3 linked regions of the Coturnix japonica genome follow. The protein of the gene in region 1 purifies or fractionates together with the protein of each later gene. This does not show direct contact. Links are inferred from orthologs where the notes say so. Each region holds a gene or a part of one and is shown in the gene's direction. Other genes may lie near its edges.

Region 1 (4,604 bases):
ATTAATGCACACTTGTACTATGCAGCCATACTGTGTTGTTTTCTGTTACTCAGACATTTTCTTTCTAGGTTTGTTATGCTCGAGTTCTTGATTATAGAAGAAAGTTCATTGAGGCTGCCCAAAGATACAACGAGCTGTCCTATAAGAGCATAGTTCATGAAAGCGAGCGACTGGAGGCACTGAAGCACGCTTTGCATTGCACTATTCTGGCATCAGCAGGTAAAATATGATACTTTTTTATGTAAGAGATCCGAAATACGTATTCCTGAAGCAAGTCAACTTCTGCATTACTGGGGGAAGGAGCTGAGGAATCGAATCCAGAGTTGTGAGCATGGTGTCAGGGTTAATTCAGAGCTGGAGTACTTGTTTATTTGCCAGTGGTGTGGGGCCATTTAAAGATGCAAAATAAAGTCAGTGGCAAGCAGTGCTTTGGAACTGAATGCAACCCAGTCTTCTCTGGTAGAACTTTGTTGATTGTATGTGTTAGAAAGAGAGAGATCTTTGTTGTTTATCTGCCAATACTCAACTTCTTGGTGGCAACTTATGAGGATTCTTCATGGCTCTCTTAGGACAGCAGCGTTCTCGCATGCTTGCTACACTTTTTAAGGATGAGAGATGCCAGCAGCTTGCAGCCTATGGGATTCTGGAGAAAATGTACCTTGACAGAATTATTCGTGGAAACCAGCTGCAAGAGTTTGCAGCTATGCTAATGCCTCACCAGAAAGCAACTACAGCTGATGGTATGTATTTCTCTAAAGCCTCACAGCGCTGCTTGTTCATCCAGGTTTGCCCTTTGCGTCCCTAAGGGTAACAGAAAAAAGCATCATGTGATCATTTAAGGTTATTTCCCACAATGCAAAATAAAAGGTTCAAAGCTACTTGTATTAAAAAAAAATTCACCACAGGAAATCTTTCTGATCACTTTCTTTATTTGTGGCGGTAGGCTGATGCCATGCAACAAGATGCACCTGTACTTTCTGCATGTATAACCTTCAGAAAAAAAAAACACACTTTGCATCTGTTCTACAATATAAACCAAATATCTCATTTATATTAATGAATTGTTGTCTCATTCAACCCATAAGGTTCCAGTATCCTGGACAGAGCTGTTATTGAACACAATTTACTATCTGCAAGCAAACTTTACAACAATATTACCTTTGAAGAGCTTGGAGCATTACTAGAGATCCCTGCAGCTAAGGTAATGGCTTCCAACACCTTTTGTTAAAAGAAAAAGCAACACAAAGCAGCAGGGATGTAAGAATAGCTCTAGTCAATATTAGGAAAATTAGTTTACTGATAGGAAATTAAATATTCAATACTGGACACATGACAGAAGTTAAGTTAGCACATTTTATGAGAAGGAAGGGGACACAGTATAGAAGGGACAGTAACATATTTTGATGCCACTAAGTATGTCAGTTGGTGCATGATGAGATGTTTTCGGTATGGTTCTGCCTATATCCCCATGTAGATGAAAAACATATAAGGACTATCAAACTTGTAATGGATTATCACTTCTTTCAGAATGGATCAGATACCTAATATCGTTCTTTCTCCCTTATTTCAGGCAGAAAAAATAGCTTCTCAGATGATAACTGAGGGACGCATGAATGGATTCATTGATCAGATTGACGGAATTGTTCATTTTGAGAGTAAGTTGGGATTTTTATTTTTTTTTAATTTAATTTGTTTTGTACCATTCAGAATTGTCCTTTTGAGTTGTTGTCTAGTAAAGCAAACAGATTGTTTACAACTGCTATCTATGATGTATGCTGTATAATGCTGTAGCCAGGAGGTGGCAGTATTTTGCATAGCAGGGAATCATAAAGTGGCTTGAGTTGGAAGAGACCTCAAGGATCATCAAATTCCAGCCCCACTGCCACAGGCAGGGATTCTCATCACTCATGTGCCTCTTCCAGGAGGATCAGTGATATTCCCAGGTGCAGAGGTGAAGCTCACTGGCCTGTAGTTCCCCAGGTTGTCCTTCTTCCCTTTCTTATAAGTGGGAGTGACATTTCCTTTTTTCCAGTCACTGAAGACTTCACCTGACAGCCATAACTTTTTATATGTGATGGCAAGCACATCAGCCAGCTCCCTTAGGACCCTGGGATACATGTTGTCCAGCACCATAGACTTGTACATGTTCTGTCTTATGAGATGGTCTTGGACTTTCTCTGCCTGTGCAGTGGAGATCCCACCAAGAGGTTCAGTGATGTGAGATTCAGCGTTGTGAGAAATATGAGAAGCCAGACTGATAGTTAAGACTTAGGCAAAGAACCTCAGCCTTCTCCATATCTGTTGTACACAGTTCTCCTTTGTCGTTTATCAGAGGAGGTACCAGTTTTCACATGTCCCTCTGTTCTGCATTCTTTTATCCATATCAAAGTGTGAATTTATATTGCCAGTCTCCTTGTAGGATATCAGGAATTTCTCTGCTTGCTTTTTTGTAAGGCAGGGGTTAGGTTTGTAATGGGCAGTCAAAGTCATTTAACTTTTGAAGACAGAACAGAGTATGATATAGCCGCAAGGCAGGTCAGAGCAGTACCAAAGGTGAAACTTGCATTTAAACAATGATGGTGAATTGCCAAGACTATACTTTTGTTTTCTGTGGTTTCCTTTTGCAGCTCGGGAAGCTTTGCCAACTTGGGATAAGCAGATTCAGTCCCTGTGTTTCCAGGTGAACAACCTGCTGGAGAAGATAAGTCAGACAGCACCAGAATGGACAGCCCAGGCAATGGAGGCTCAGATGGCTCAGTGACTGCACAGCCATGGTCTTCTGTGCTGGAGGGAAGGAAGCTGAGCAGGACTGTTTGCTGAATGAATAACCCACCTTTGTGTCCACACCTTTCGCTTTCACTCTGCCTTAGGACACATTAGGCGATACTGTGTTTGTTGTGAGAAGTTCCACTGTTCTCTGAGTGTAGGATGAGTTGCTGCATCTGCGTTGTGCTTTGCTGTCCTGAAAGCTGTGGTTTCTGCATAGAAGCTGCCACGTCGGAACGAGCTTGGGTTTTGGTTTATTTAATGTCGTTTGGTTTTCCACCGTATTGCTATAGCTTTGCAGCTTATTACTTCCTAAAGTGTTCATCCCACTGTGAAAAATGGAAGTGCCATGTTTCTTCTACTTGTAATTATTCTAATAAAAGCTGCAGTAAACCACTTGTTTTAAGTGTTGGAGGGACCTGTTGGCTTTTCTTTTACCCCAAAGCAGCAACACAAAATAATTCAAGGTTTTAGAAATGTCTATTTCAACCCCTGAAAATGTAAACTGAGGAAACAACTCGTCAGCTCTTCTGTGCCCTGCTTCTCTATCTGAGAAGTCTTAATGCTGACTGTTCTGCTACATTGGTACAGCAGAAAAGAGATCTGTCTGGTAGTCTGTGGGTTAGAAGTGGCCATGGAAAATAGGTGGAGTAAGAACAAGCATTGTGGTAAATGATTTGAACATAACATGAACCAAATATTGGAAAGCAAGTGGGCACTCCGTTTTCTTCTGTAGGTCAGCAGAAGTTTGATAGCTTAGCAATACTTCATATTGCTACTTCAGTAGGTGGCAGTAGAAGACAAGCAGACCAAGAATGAACGGTGACTGTACTATATGCATCTTTGCCACTCTCTCTTCATCAACAGCATCAAAACTTAAAGTTGACTTTGGCTAATCATTGGATAAATGATTTTATCTCCAGTTTACCTTTAAGGTATCTCTTTAAAAACTTTCCCGATAGTTTTGAAGCCTTGTATAGTAGGAAAAAAAGCCCCATGTTTATGTAGACAGTGTAAGACAGGCACCCATTCAGAGTATCAACAGAAAAATACACTCAAATGCTTGTGATGAGGCTTTTGTTCAGTTTAGTAAAGTTCAGGGATTTCTTTTGGGCCTGAGATGTGAACTGCTGTGATGTCTTAAGTTCACTTCCTTAGCTACTCACACCTTTAGAGCTTGGAATATTCAGCATAACCTCGGTTAACAACTACTCTGGAGAGGGTCAGACATCACTGCCTCATTGCTCTAAATGGGTTCACTGTTGGCATAGCTTATCCACAAAGGTTGCTTATGTTTGTATTTGACTCAATTTATGTTCTCGTTGACCCTTCAGTACTCAGTGACCCATGCAACATATGTTTTTTTTTATGGACGTGGGGTTAACTTAGATGCACACACTATTGTCTGCTGAATCCTACAAGGAGAATGATTTGTGCTTCTGCAATAACAGTAATTTCACCTTGTTACAACAGAACATGTTTTATTTTTTGGCCATGACTTCACTCATTTTGCAGTTCTCCTCTGGGAAAAAAAAAGCAATTTCAGGAACATCTGAATTTAAAAGGAACAGTTGTACAGAGACACCGTTTCCAAAACAAAGATAAACACAAAGGACTTGCTTGGCACAGGGGCTGATAGAAAAGATAGCAACTGGAAAATAATTGTGTTTGCTAATAGTAAATACGTAACTTCCTTCTCAAAGAGTGACACTGTGATATGGGCATTCACAAAACCTTAACAGATCTTAATAGTCTTTTTCTATTTAAGATGCTGGTGTTTAAACTTTGAATCTGCAGAGGCTTTTGTGGCTGCTTCTCTCCATTCTATTGGGAGTTAT
Region 2 (5,074 bases), on another chromosome or scaffold:
ATATTTGGAGAGCTGAGAACTCTGCATTCTACAGGTATACTGCTTTATATCCCAAGGACATGAGATTAGATTAATCAGATTTGACCAAAGGGAGTTGGAGATGGCATTGTGTAAGAAATGAAGGCAAAGCCACTTTTGGGTTTACTCGTGATACAGTAGAATTCTAGTAACAAGTAATGATTGGATCCATTATATAGCGAGTAAAACTTCATGTTTTAATTGAGGAGACCTAGAGATGTATATGGAAAGAGCACTATTTGGATTTATTGAGGATTATTTGGAACTGCAAATGCTTTCAAGAGATTAGGGTCACTCCTGTGGTGCGCAGTGTGAACTCATTAAACAAAGTAAACCTTTCTATCCAGCTCACCTCCATGGGTGATAAGGTTGGTTTTGACACTGATGGGATTTCTTACTTACATCTATATCAGAGCTATGCAGTGTGGTCGGTAGATGGTATTAGTGAAGGGCTGTGTGTGTTGTTCCTTGAAAACATAGGGAGGTTTATTGGAGAGCTGCCAGTTCCTGTGCTGGACAGAAGCTTTGCAATTAACCGTTCATCTCTAGGCAGTCCCAGCAACATCGGAATATCCACGAAGGAGATTTGCTCAATGGCTGGCAAAGATCATCTCTGGAATCTGACCTCAAAAGTTACTGGCGAGCTAGTTTTCCTTAATAGGTGCTGTACAGATTCTCTGGATAGTCTTTTATTTTTAAAGAAGATAAATAAATGCTGGCAAGATCATTGCAGACAAATGGTAAGTTGAGTGTTTGTTCAGAATGTGTATCCTTGAGAAGTACAGCCTGGCAAAAGGGAGCTTTTAACTTGGGTCTGTGATGCGCTTCCTCCAAGTTTCAGTAGGACTTTTCGCTTTCCCCTTTACTGGCTGGGAGCCGTTCTGTTGTCAAAAGTTACATTCTGCTGTGTTATTGGTTTGCTCTTCATTGATTTCCTAGTGGTAACCAGCTAGAATATCACTCAGAAACATATTGACTCTAGTGAAATCATTCAGCAACCAATTCTTCAGTCTTTGCTTATAGATCACTCCAACTAGGTTAATTTGTGGCTTTTATTTTGTATTTTTTTTCAAAACAGAGCTGAATATCCTGACTTACTGGGCTGAGAAACAGGAAGAAAACGACTCATAAGAATTGGCCTTTTAAGATACTACTTCATTATAATTCTAAGTTTTCCTTGCATTGTCACCAAGCTCTGGCTACAGGTGCCCAAAATTGTGGGGCACCCAAATTACTTCCTTTTCCCTCCCCCATGAGGGATGGGCAGGGATGTGTATGTGCATTTTATCTCGAATGAAACGGATAGTGTTGTGGAAAATATTCTGAACAAATTCTGCAGTCTGATGAAATTAAGGTTGAAGGTTATTACCTTGAAAGTTTGATTAAACTGGACCTGTGTTTTTATAAATATATGGTGTTTTCTTTCTGTGAACTCTGTTCTCTTTAATTACTTTTGAGAGTTCCTTTTGTTGGTTTTACTTATTCATGTTTATTCATCAGATCAACAACCCTGTAGGAAGTGGCTTTCTTGTCCAGGTGCTGAGGTAGTACCTGTGGTGTTCAAGAAAACAAAACAAAACCGATCTTGTTGCTATTTTACTTTAACGTGGTTGGCTAGAAATTGTGTGAGCTTGAGAATTGCTTTAGAAGCACTGAAATCCTTTAGAGGAGGATTGAGTAGGCATCTGAGGATAGGCAATTCAGTAGCTGGCCTGGCAGTGAGTTATGTATGGACATCCTGAGGTACTGTAATGCTAAATTAAAAGCTGAGCAGCCTTTTGAATGAAACATTTTTAAGTGAAATATGTGACAGCAGTTTACTGACAGTTGATAACTATGCTTGAGTAAATATGTATCTCAGTAGCACTAAGACTTAAACAGCACTAAGGCCAATAAAACTATTCCATTAATTGCTTATGAATTTGAAAATTGTCTTGAATCTATTCAGTTACAGTGATTAGTCATAGCATTAATGTTAACAAATGACATACCAGTAGAGATGCAGGTCACCAGAAGAGTCAAAAATAGGTGTAGCAGCAATGAAAAATCATGTGTCTGCAATGTAATTTTCCAGAATCTGCCTTATAATTTAAAGTGTTACATGCTGTCAAAGAGAAAAAATGTTTCCTTGATGTGTTTTCAGATCATGATCAGAAGCATTTTCTTATTTTTGGATCGTACATACGTACTTCAGAACTCAATGCTTCCTTCTATATGGTAGGTATCTGCATGTGTGCTCCTTTAGTCTGTACAATTTGTGCTGTATTTATAAAGGTTGAAAATATAATTTTTTTTTTTCCTCACAATATATTTGAGCTGTGTAGTAGGTTGATTAAATTTTTGTGTTAATTTATGGAAAATTAATTCTGTAATATCCACCTTCCCCAGGAGGTAATATGAGGGTAAAATAGGAAGGTCACTGTGGATCAGCTGCCAAGTTTGGGTGAGGCTGCTGCCCCTGGGCCTTCTCTTTCAGTCTAGTGGTTCTTCAGGTGTTCCTGGTTTGGCAAAGTTCAGAGCTTGGCTATTGGCTCTGTTGTTTTAAATGTTAGGTGCACTCACAAGGTGCAGATCATGTTTCCTGCCCTGGCCTTTTGTGAGTTGAGACCCGGGCTCAGAGCTCTGAGGTTAACCCCTGCTTGCTCCTGCAGTTTGAGCACCCCACAGCCACGTCTGTTTCTCAGCGTCCTTCCTGAGAGACATTTTGTATAATCACCAAGACAAACAAATCCATACTTTGCCACAATTTTCTGGTGTCTGTATTCTGTCTAAAGCAAGAAAAGATGTAGATAAAATACTGAAGTAGCAGCGTGCCTCTTCCCTGCGTATATTACTTCTGTGCTCTCCCCTCAGGATGGGGAGGAAGATGGCAGCTTTTTGTGATAGTTCTTCTTATAGAATATATACATGATTAATAAATTCTCTCTGTGTAACGTATAGGTGAGCATAATAGGTGAACAGTTGGACCGGATGATCTTTTAGGTCTTTTCCAACCTTGGTGATTCTATGATTCTATATTTATATATAATACGTATACACACATATTTTCTTTAACATGCAAATTTGAAAAGAACCAACAAAGTGATGTCTTAATTTTCATTATTCACACAGGGACATGGGGCTGGAATTATTTAGGAATCATGTCATTAGTGATAAACAAGTTCAAAACAAGACTATTGATGGAATCCTCCTGCTGATTGAAAGAGAACGAAGTGGTGAAGCAGTGGACCGAAGTTTGCTGCGTAGTTTGTTGAGTATGCTGTCTGATCTGCAGGTGAGTACAGCAAACCTCAGCCATTACCACTAGTTTTAGAAACTGACTTTGGACTATTCTGGCGTGTGTGTTATACAGAAATAATTTTATTCTAGTAAATATGTGCTTCAAAATCTGGCAAACAGATTGAGAAGGCGGTTCCCTTTTCTTTGCCCAATCCACAGTCGTTCATTCTGTTTTTTAAGTGAGATTTCTGTGCTTGTTTTCTTCTTAGTTGCGACATGTCTGTGTTATTTGCTTGTTTCTGCTTTCCATGTTAACTTTTCTGACTTTCGTCCATAACACAAAAGATTTAGAACTGATAATTCTGTTCAAGAGAGAAGAAGGACTTCTTATGATATGAAAAATCATTAGCAGATCTGAAGACGTAGATCTGATTTGTGTGCTCTTTCCCACTTTTTTTTCCTGTTACTTGGCAGTCTTCTCTTAACTGCATCAGTTTTTTGTAGGTATTACCAGTGAGTGCTACTGTTTTGTTTCATTTTTGTTTAGCAAAATACACTGCTAACTAAAGGCATCTCCTCTATTAGATCCTTCTTACAGGTCTGCATTTCAATCTGCAGTCTTCTTCACTCTCTCAGAAGTGTTTTCTTTCTTCACTCTAGAACCTAACAAAGTGTATTCTTTTATATTATCAGGCATGAGTGTGCTTTTGATCCTGCCTCCAGGATCTCTGCTTCTCTCTCCTCTTTCATTGGAGGTTAGCTTGTGGTGAAAGATGAATTAAGAACGCAAATCTTATATTTCATTCAAAAATAATTAAGCTCTTTCTCATTCCTGATTTTTAGGCAATTACAAAATTGGAGACCAACTGCTGAAAGCTTATTCCTGCTTGCATCAATCTTGTTCTATTGCAGTTCCCTGTTGTAAAGCTTTATACGTGGTCTGTGTAGAAATAACTCCTTATTACGTTAGCATAGGTCAGAAAGTTAGTGAAGGAAAGGAAGGTAAGATATAAAGTCTTGGGTTTGATTCAGTTTAAAGAGATGGCTAAAGCAATCAGTTAGTGTCTGCTTATGACATTGAATACTATTACACTCTGAATACCTGTCAAGCCAGAGATTTTGTTTGATGCGCTGAGGAAAAAGCCAAATATTTGAAAGTACTTCCTTATCAGCTTTGTTCCTAAGGCACGTTACTGAGAGTATCATCATTTTACTGTTGGGAATTACCTGTTTTGTTTTCCCAGTTGGAACTGGCCCAGAAATATCAGTGGGGGTTTTGAGCTCACGTGGATTAGATGTCATTGCTGTGCTGTTGTGTTGAGTGCTGGTGTTTGTGTGAATTAAACAGAAACCTGTCAGTTTAGACACGCTGGGAAGTCAACTTTAATTGTAGTCTTTCTAAAACCAGTGGGGAAAAAATCAGATTTCTGCATTTATATAATTTTAAACATTTATTTTGCCTTCCTGAGATTTTACTTGCCTCCAAGTAAACCAGGGTACGCTACTTTTAATGGCAGCTTAATGTAAGTAATTAAATTGATTTCTTGAACAGGTTTACAAAGAATCATTTGAACAGAGGTTTCTGGAAGAGACAAATTGCTTATATGCTGCAGAGGGCCAAAGATTAATGCAAGAAAGAGAGGTAGGTGCATGCTGTAGTTAACTGGTTTTATTTTAGTTCCATCTGCTATGGGATTATGTGGGAACTTCTGGTAGCACCACAGAGTGAATACTAAAAGAAATTTACAAGGGTAAATGATGATTATGCTTTGGGGACTGTGGTATTGTATCAAAGAGAAGAACCAATTCCAGTTTGCCATGATGTTGGGTATATGTA
Region 3 (5,074 bases), on another chromosome or scaffold:
CTTCTTTGCCTTCTAAGTGAGCTAACTTTTAAGTTTCAAAGGTGATCTGCAGGGACAGTTGTAAACAATTTGGGGAAAAAAAGAGTCCACAGTTGGGGGGGGGAAGAACACCTGTCCCTCATGTAGAACCTTGTGTGGGTAGAGAACCAGCTTAATATCAAGTGAATAAAGGAAATGTTGAAACCTGCATAAAAGCTCAGCACTTCTGTGTTTGTTCTTTTCGTGTTTGCTGTTAAAGCCTTTTGTGTCATATGTCTGTATTAAGAGGTGAGAATTAGCTTTAGTAGTTTGTCAGTTCTCAGTAGAAATGATAGGAGAGCAGAATAAGCTCTCCTAGAATAAGCCATAGTTGCATCCAAGGCACTTCATAGTTACTCTTTGTATGCCTTCAGTCAAAGAAATATTTGATTTGTGGGTTTGTTGTTGTTTTTTTTTCTTTCAAAGCCAATTTTGAAGAGGCAATGCTTTCATATTTTGGTCAAATGATTGCGCCTAATTGTCTCAAAATAAACACAACCACCCAAAGCTGATAATCAGTGATTCGTGTGCCTGTTTCATCCAGGCTGTGATAATGTTGTCATCCCTGGAAGCACTCAGCAGCTTCAGCTGTTTGGCTGCCTCCCTAAACACCATGGACTAAGGAGAGTGCTCAGCTCACTTTCTGTGCTGCCTGTCAGTCTTTCCTGGCATGTACTCAGTATTATCACCTAAAAAGACGTAGCAAATCTAGGGTTCAGGTTCTCAACTCCCCATTTGTCCCAGTTCTGTCAGCAGGTGCTTCTCAAGCTATTAGTTCCCATTGGAAAAATGAGGAGCTGGCAATAGGTACTTCAGTAGTTAGCCTTTGCCAGAAAGCCAGAAGAGCTTGAGCTGTGCCACCTGTTAGCAAGGGATGCAATTTGCATCTCTTCACATTCAGCCTTACTAAAAGGAAATATTAAAACCTTGCAGGATAAATGGTTTGATATAGCAATTAATTTGAGAGGAGCAGGGAAGTACTTGATCCCGATGAGCTAATTTTGTGTTCTTACAGTCTGAGCAGGCTTTATAGCATCATCTTCTGTCCTACTGGTTAGTCAGTGTAGTTCACAGAGGTGGGTTTAAATAAGCTTTTTGCCTCTGGTTGACCTTGGCAATTTGTTTTCTGGAAAGTGTCATTAATGCAGCAGAAGTCAATGGCATTCTGTAAGGGAATCCTCTGGGGAAATGTTTCTGGGGATTGCTGCAGCCTTCTAGCAATTCTCCCTCCTTTCTAATAACCTCGACTTGCCTCCCCGGTTTGGAGGTATTAAAAACTTGATTCAAAATGCTGCACTGCCTGTAGGTTCTGCACTGTGCTTCAGAGCTCAGCAGAGGGGAGGGAATCAGGTTGTACACCAAGGCAAGGGGATGAATCTGCTGATGTTTTTGAAATACTGCTCTAACATGAGTAAATAAACAGTACTGGCACCTTCAGAGCATCACACCTGTCTGTCACTGGGGTCATTGATAAGGTCTCAGCATGTTTTGGAGGGCTGGTGGGGAATGGGATGTCAGAAGCAAGGCTCTGTATTCACCCTTCTGGGTGGGCAGTCTGAAATCCTCTGGATGCCATTCAAATGAAAGCTGATAAGCTGTTTGATAGTACTGTGACAAGTAGGCTAACACAAGGAGCTGCGTACTGGGGCAGGATAGAGTGGATTGTGCTTATTTTATGTCGTTCCTTCTATAGGATGTCTGAGTTGATTGAGAAGGAGACTGAAGAATACCGCAAAGGGGATCCAGACCCTTTTGATGACCGACACCCAGGTAAGGAATTCTGAATGATTTAGTCAGCTCTGCATCAGCTGGTATATGGTAATTCATATTTAAAAGTAAGCGGAATCTTGCCTAATTCTGTTCACTACTGATCAGTGTCTGTTGTGACTAGTATATGTTTTAAGTAGGTAACTGCAACTAGAGGAAACTCTGACTTGATCAGTAATTCATATGACTTCTATAGTTCTGTATCTAAGAGAGGTACAGCTGACTGCGTTATTCCACAGTCAGACTGAAGTCAGTAGTTTAGCACTGATCTTGAAGTCTTGAGGTACATACGTCTTTTCCTGTTTCCTCTACAGGTCGAGCAGACCCTGAGTGTATGCTTGGTCACTTACTAAGGATACTTTTCAAGAATGATGATTTCATGAATGCGGTAGGTTTGCTCTGAGGACGGTACCTGTCAGGTCTTCTTAAGACTTTAATGTTTCTGTTTCCTGTGTTACTGACCTCAGTACTTGTGCTTGTTTAATATTAATTTTACTGTTGGTGGGTCTGTTTTTTCCTTAGCAGTAGCCTTTAAAGTGTGTTTGAATGCAGCTTGTTTGCTGCTGCTAGAGTGACCCAAGGAAAGGGGCAGTTCATCAGCTATTCAAGAGTACTGGAATATGTGTATTAATGATTGAATTAGTACTTCTCAGCATTTATTGGTCTCTTTAAAGAAAGTGCGGGTCCCCTGATAAAAGTTTAAAAGCATAATTAATTTCTGTAGTAGAAATTAACTACTAATTCCAGTGCTTTGTCTGTGAATACTTGGAAATGCTGGAGTGCCTGTATGAGCAGGTGTATCTGCTCTAGCAGGCTCAGGCCAAGCACTTGGAGACAAGAGTCTGGCTTTTCTCTTGCACTGCTCTACCCATACATGAGTTAATAGCTAGAGTTTTTGTTGCCCTCATCTCAGTGCACCCCCTGTATCAGTGCATGTTGCTGTAAGTTTTCTACCAGATGACTTACGTGGAGCTTTCTGTCTTAAACTGCAACTGATAAACAAAAATGCCATTAAGAAAGTGTGGTATTTCTTGTGTATTTGTGTTTTTTTAATGTTTTTTTTCCTCCCCAGCTATTACTCTCACATGATTACACTGTTACTGAGCTGTAATTATTTTAGGCATTTGTCTTAATGAATCAGCTCAAGAAAAGTATTTAAGCAGTGAACATCAGATCAGAGGGGAATTGTGCTTCTTAGAGAAGTTATTTCTACTCCTGAATTTCAAACTGATGCTTTTCCTCTTCTTTTCTAGCTAGTGAATGCTTATGTGATGACGAGCAGAGAACCTCCATTAAACACTGCTGCCTGCAGACTTCTTCTGGATATCATGCCAGGATTGGAAACTGCTGTTGTCTTTCAGGAAAAGGTATCTTGTATATGAGGCTTAGTTTATAAGCTTGGTGTATTACGTACTCCAACAGCTCATCCCACAGGAGAAACCAGTAAAAAGCAGCATTTAAATCCTACCTCTGGGAGACAATCTGTTTAGCCTTATGAAAGGTTTGAGGCTTTCTGATGTGGGCTTGTTCAGCTGATCAAATCTTGAGTATTGCACAGCTTGGAGGTTTTAAGAGGACTGATTCAAACAGAGGAACTGGAATTCTGTGTGGTACATTCAGCATATCTCTGGGATGGGAGGTCATGCAGGGAGATCTAGACAGGTTTGTGCAATGGGCCTTGAAGAACCTCATGAGGTTCAACAAAGCCAAGTGTGAGGTCTGGCACCTGAGTCATGGTAACCCCTACTATCAGTATAATCTGAGGATGTAAGGATAGAGCAGCTCTCTGCTGGTGAGACCTGGAGTACTGCACCCATATATGGAGTCCTCAGTACAGAAGAGAGCATGTCCAGAGGAGGACCACAAGAACACCTTCCCTGTGAGGGCAGGCCGAGAGAACGCTTCAATTAAAATTTAATTATTATTGAATATATAATACCCAATTCTTCAAAAAACTGTAAGCTGGAGGTTCTTACTGCAGCGTGTCCATTTGTTATTACTATTAACTGATCTTTTACTGTGTTGTACCTACATCTCAAATTATGTGCAGGGCTGTGTGCAAGGTCTTGTCATGCTAATGATGTTATGGTTTGGTGTTTCAAAATCCAATAATGATCTACAGGAAAAAATAATAGAGTCTTTCATTCTAACATGTAGTCTTTTAATTAACTATTTTAATCAACACTTCTTTGGCATTCAGCCTTGTTAAGAAAAGTTGCCTGGCAGGCCATGTTCAACCACTTCTGAGTTTTACTGTTAAAATATTAACAGTATTTAACACTGTGGTTTTCTATATGTGGGTTGGTATAATGGCATACATTTCTCCCTTCCCCAATCAGTACATTTTTACAGCTGTTGAGGATTGCTCTTTTGATTGGTGAGAAATTGTTAATGTAAAGGGTTCCTTCTGCACCAGGAAGTTTGCTTGTTTAAAGTGACTTTTCAACTACGAAGCTGTTAGAGAAATGTAATTTACCACTTTATTTTATTTTTAACTTAGTGTAAATTCAACAGCATTTCTTTGGAACTGCCAAATTGCTGGAGAGCTCTATTAGTAAAACTGACAGGAAAAAGAAATGCTCAACTCTTGGAATTGCTTTCTTGTTTTCTGCGTTCTAGGAAGGCATAGTTGAAAATCTCTTTAAATGGGCACGTGAAGCTGATCAGCCACTAAGGACGTATGCAACAGGGCTTTTAGGAGGAGCTATGGAAAACCAAGATATCGCTGCGAATTACAGGGATGAGAATTCACAATTGGTAATGATCTCTTGATGCGCACTTTCGTTTACAGGACGGATAGCTCTCTCTTTATTGAGAGCATGTGGTGACACTCTCATGTATGTGTTGGTGTATGCATTTTATAGTGGTTATAATAATATATTCACTCAGTAGCTCATACTTTCTGTCCTTTCCTGACTGAATTTGCTGAGGCTGGGGTATGAAGCCCAGTTATTCTGCTACACTGTTTGTGTTTAAAAATGCCTATGAAAACCTAAGACAAATACTGTACTTCTTGATGGGACTCATACTCCTAGTTTCCTTGAAGCAGAAATTTCAAATTCTTAGCTATTGCATGTGGTAGCTTAAACAGTGGTCAGCATGGAGATAACTTCATAGGAAATGTTATTCTTAATACAATATAAATCTTTCACCAGTTCAATGCTGAATCTATATGATGATTATCAGCAGTTGAGATGACTGTCAGAAGAAGGTTGGTTAGGCAAACTTGGTTTTCAGAATGGGGTGCAGCATCAATTAGAGTGTGTCAGACTGTAGGTTCTTAATGGGT

What was found.
Region 2: the proteins of COPS4 (region 1) and CUL4A purify together in Homo sapiens (affinity purification with mass spectrometry; 7 studies listed by BioGRID and IntAct, with this or other methods). This does not show direct contact. The link is inferred for Coturnix japonica from reciprocal best matches to the Homo sapiens genes COPS4 and CUL4A.
Region 3: the proteins of COPS4 (region 1) and DCAF1 purify together in Homo sapiens (affinity purification with mass spectrometry; 4 studies listed by BioGRID, with this or other methods). This does not show direct contact. The link is inferred for Coturnix japonica from reciprocal best matches to the Homo sapiens genes COPS4 and DCAF1.

What each region holds. Positions count from the first base shown.
Region 1 is NC_029519.1:41,185,654-41,190,257, reverse strand, and holds the end of COPS4 (COP9 signalosome complex subunit 4), read left to right. Parts: intron 1-68; coding exon 69-219; intron 220-569; coding exon 570-740; intron 741-1,085; coding exon 1,086-1,201; intron 1,202-1,570; coding exon 1,571-1,655; intron 1,656-2,627; coding exon 2,628-2,761; 3' UTR 2,762-3,177; downstream 3,178-4,604. UniProt on the Homo sapiens protein: Component of the COP9 signalosome complex (CSN), a complex involved in various cellular and developmental processes.
Region 2 is NC_029516.1:123,892,112-123,897,185, reverse strand, and holds part of CUL4A (cullin-4A), read left to right. Parts: intron 1-688; coding exon 689-758; intron 759-2,161; coding exon 2,162-2,235; intron 2,236-3,129; coding exon 3,130-3,292; intron 3,293-4,789; coding exon 4,790-4,879; intron 4,880-5,074. UniProt on the Homo sapiens protein: Core component of multiple cullin-RING-based E3 ubiquitin-protein ligase complexes which mediate the ubiquitination of target proteins. As a scaffold protein may contribute to catalysis through positioning of the substrate and the ubiquitin-conjugating enzyme.
Region 3 is NC_029527.1:1,249,788-1,254,861, reverse strand, and holds part of DCAF1 (DDB1- and CUL4-associated factor 1), read left to right. Parts: intron 1-1,711; coding exon 1,712-1,788; intron 1,789-2,099; coding exon 2,100-2,173; intron 2,174-3,038; coding exon 3,039-3,152; intron 3,153-4,404; coding exon 4,405-4,542; intron 4,543-5,074. UniProt on the Homo sapiens protein: Acts both as a substrate recognition component of E3 ubiquitin-protein ligase complexes and as an atypical serine/threonine-protein kinase, playing key roles in various processes such as cell cycle, telomerase regulation and histone modification.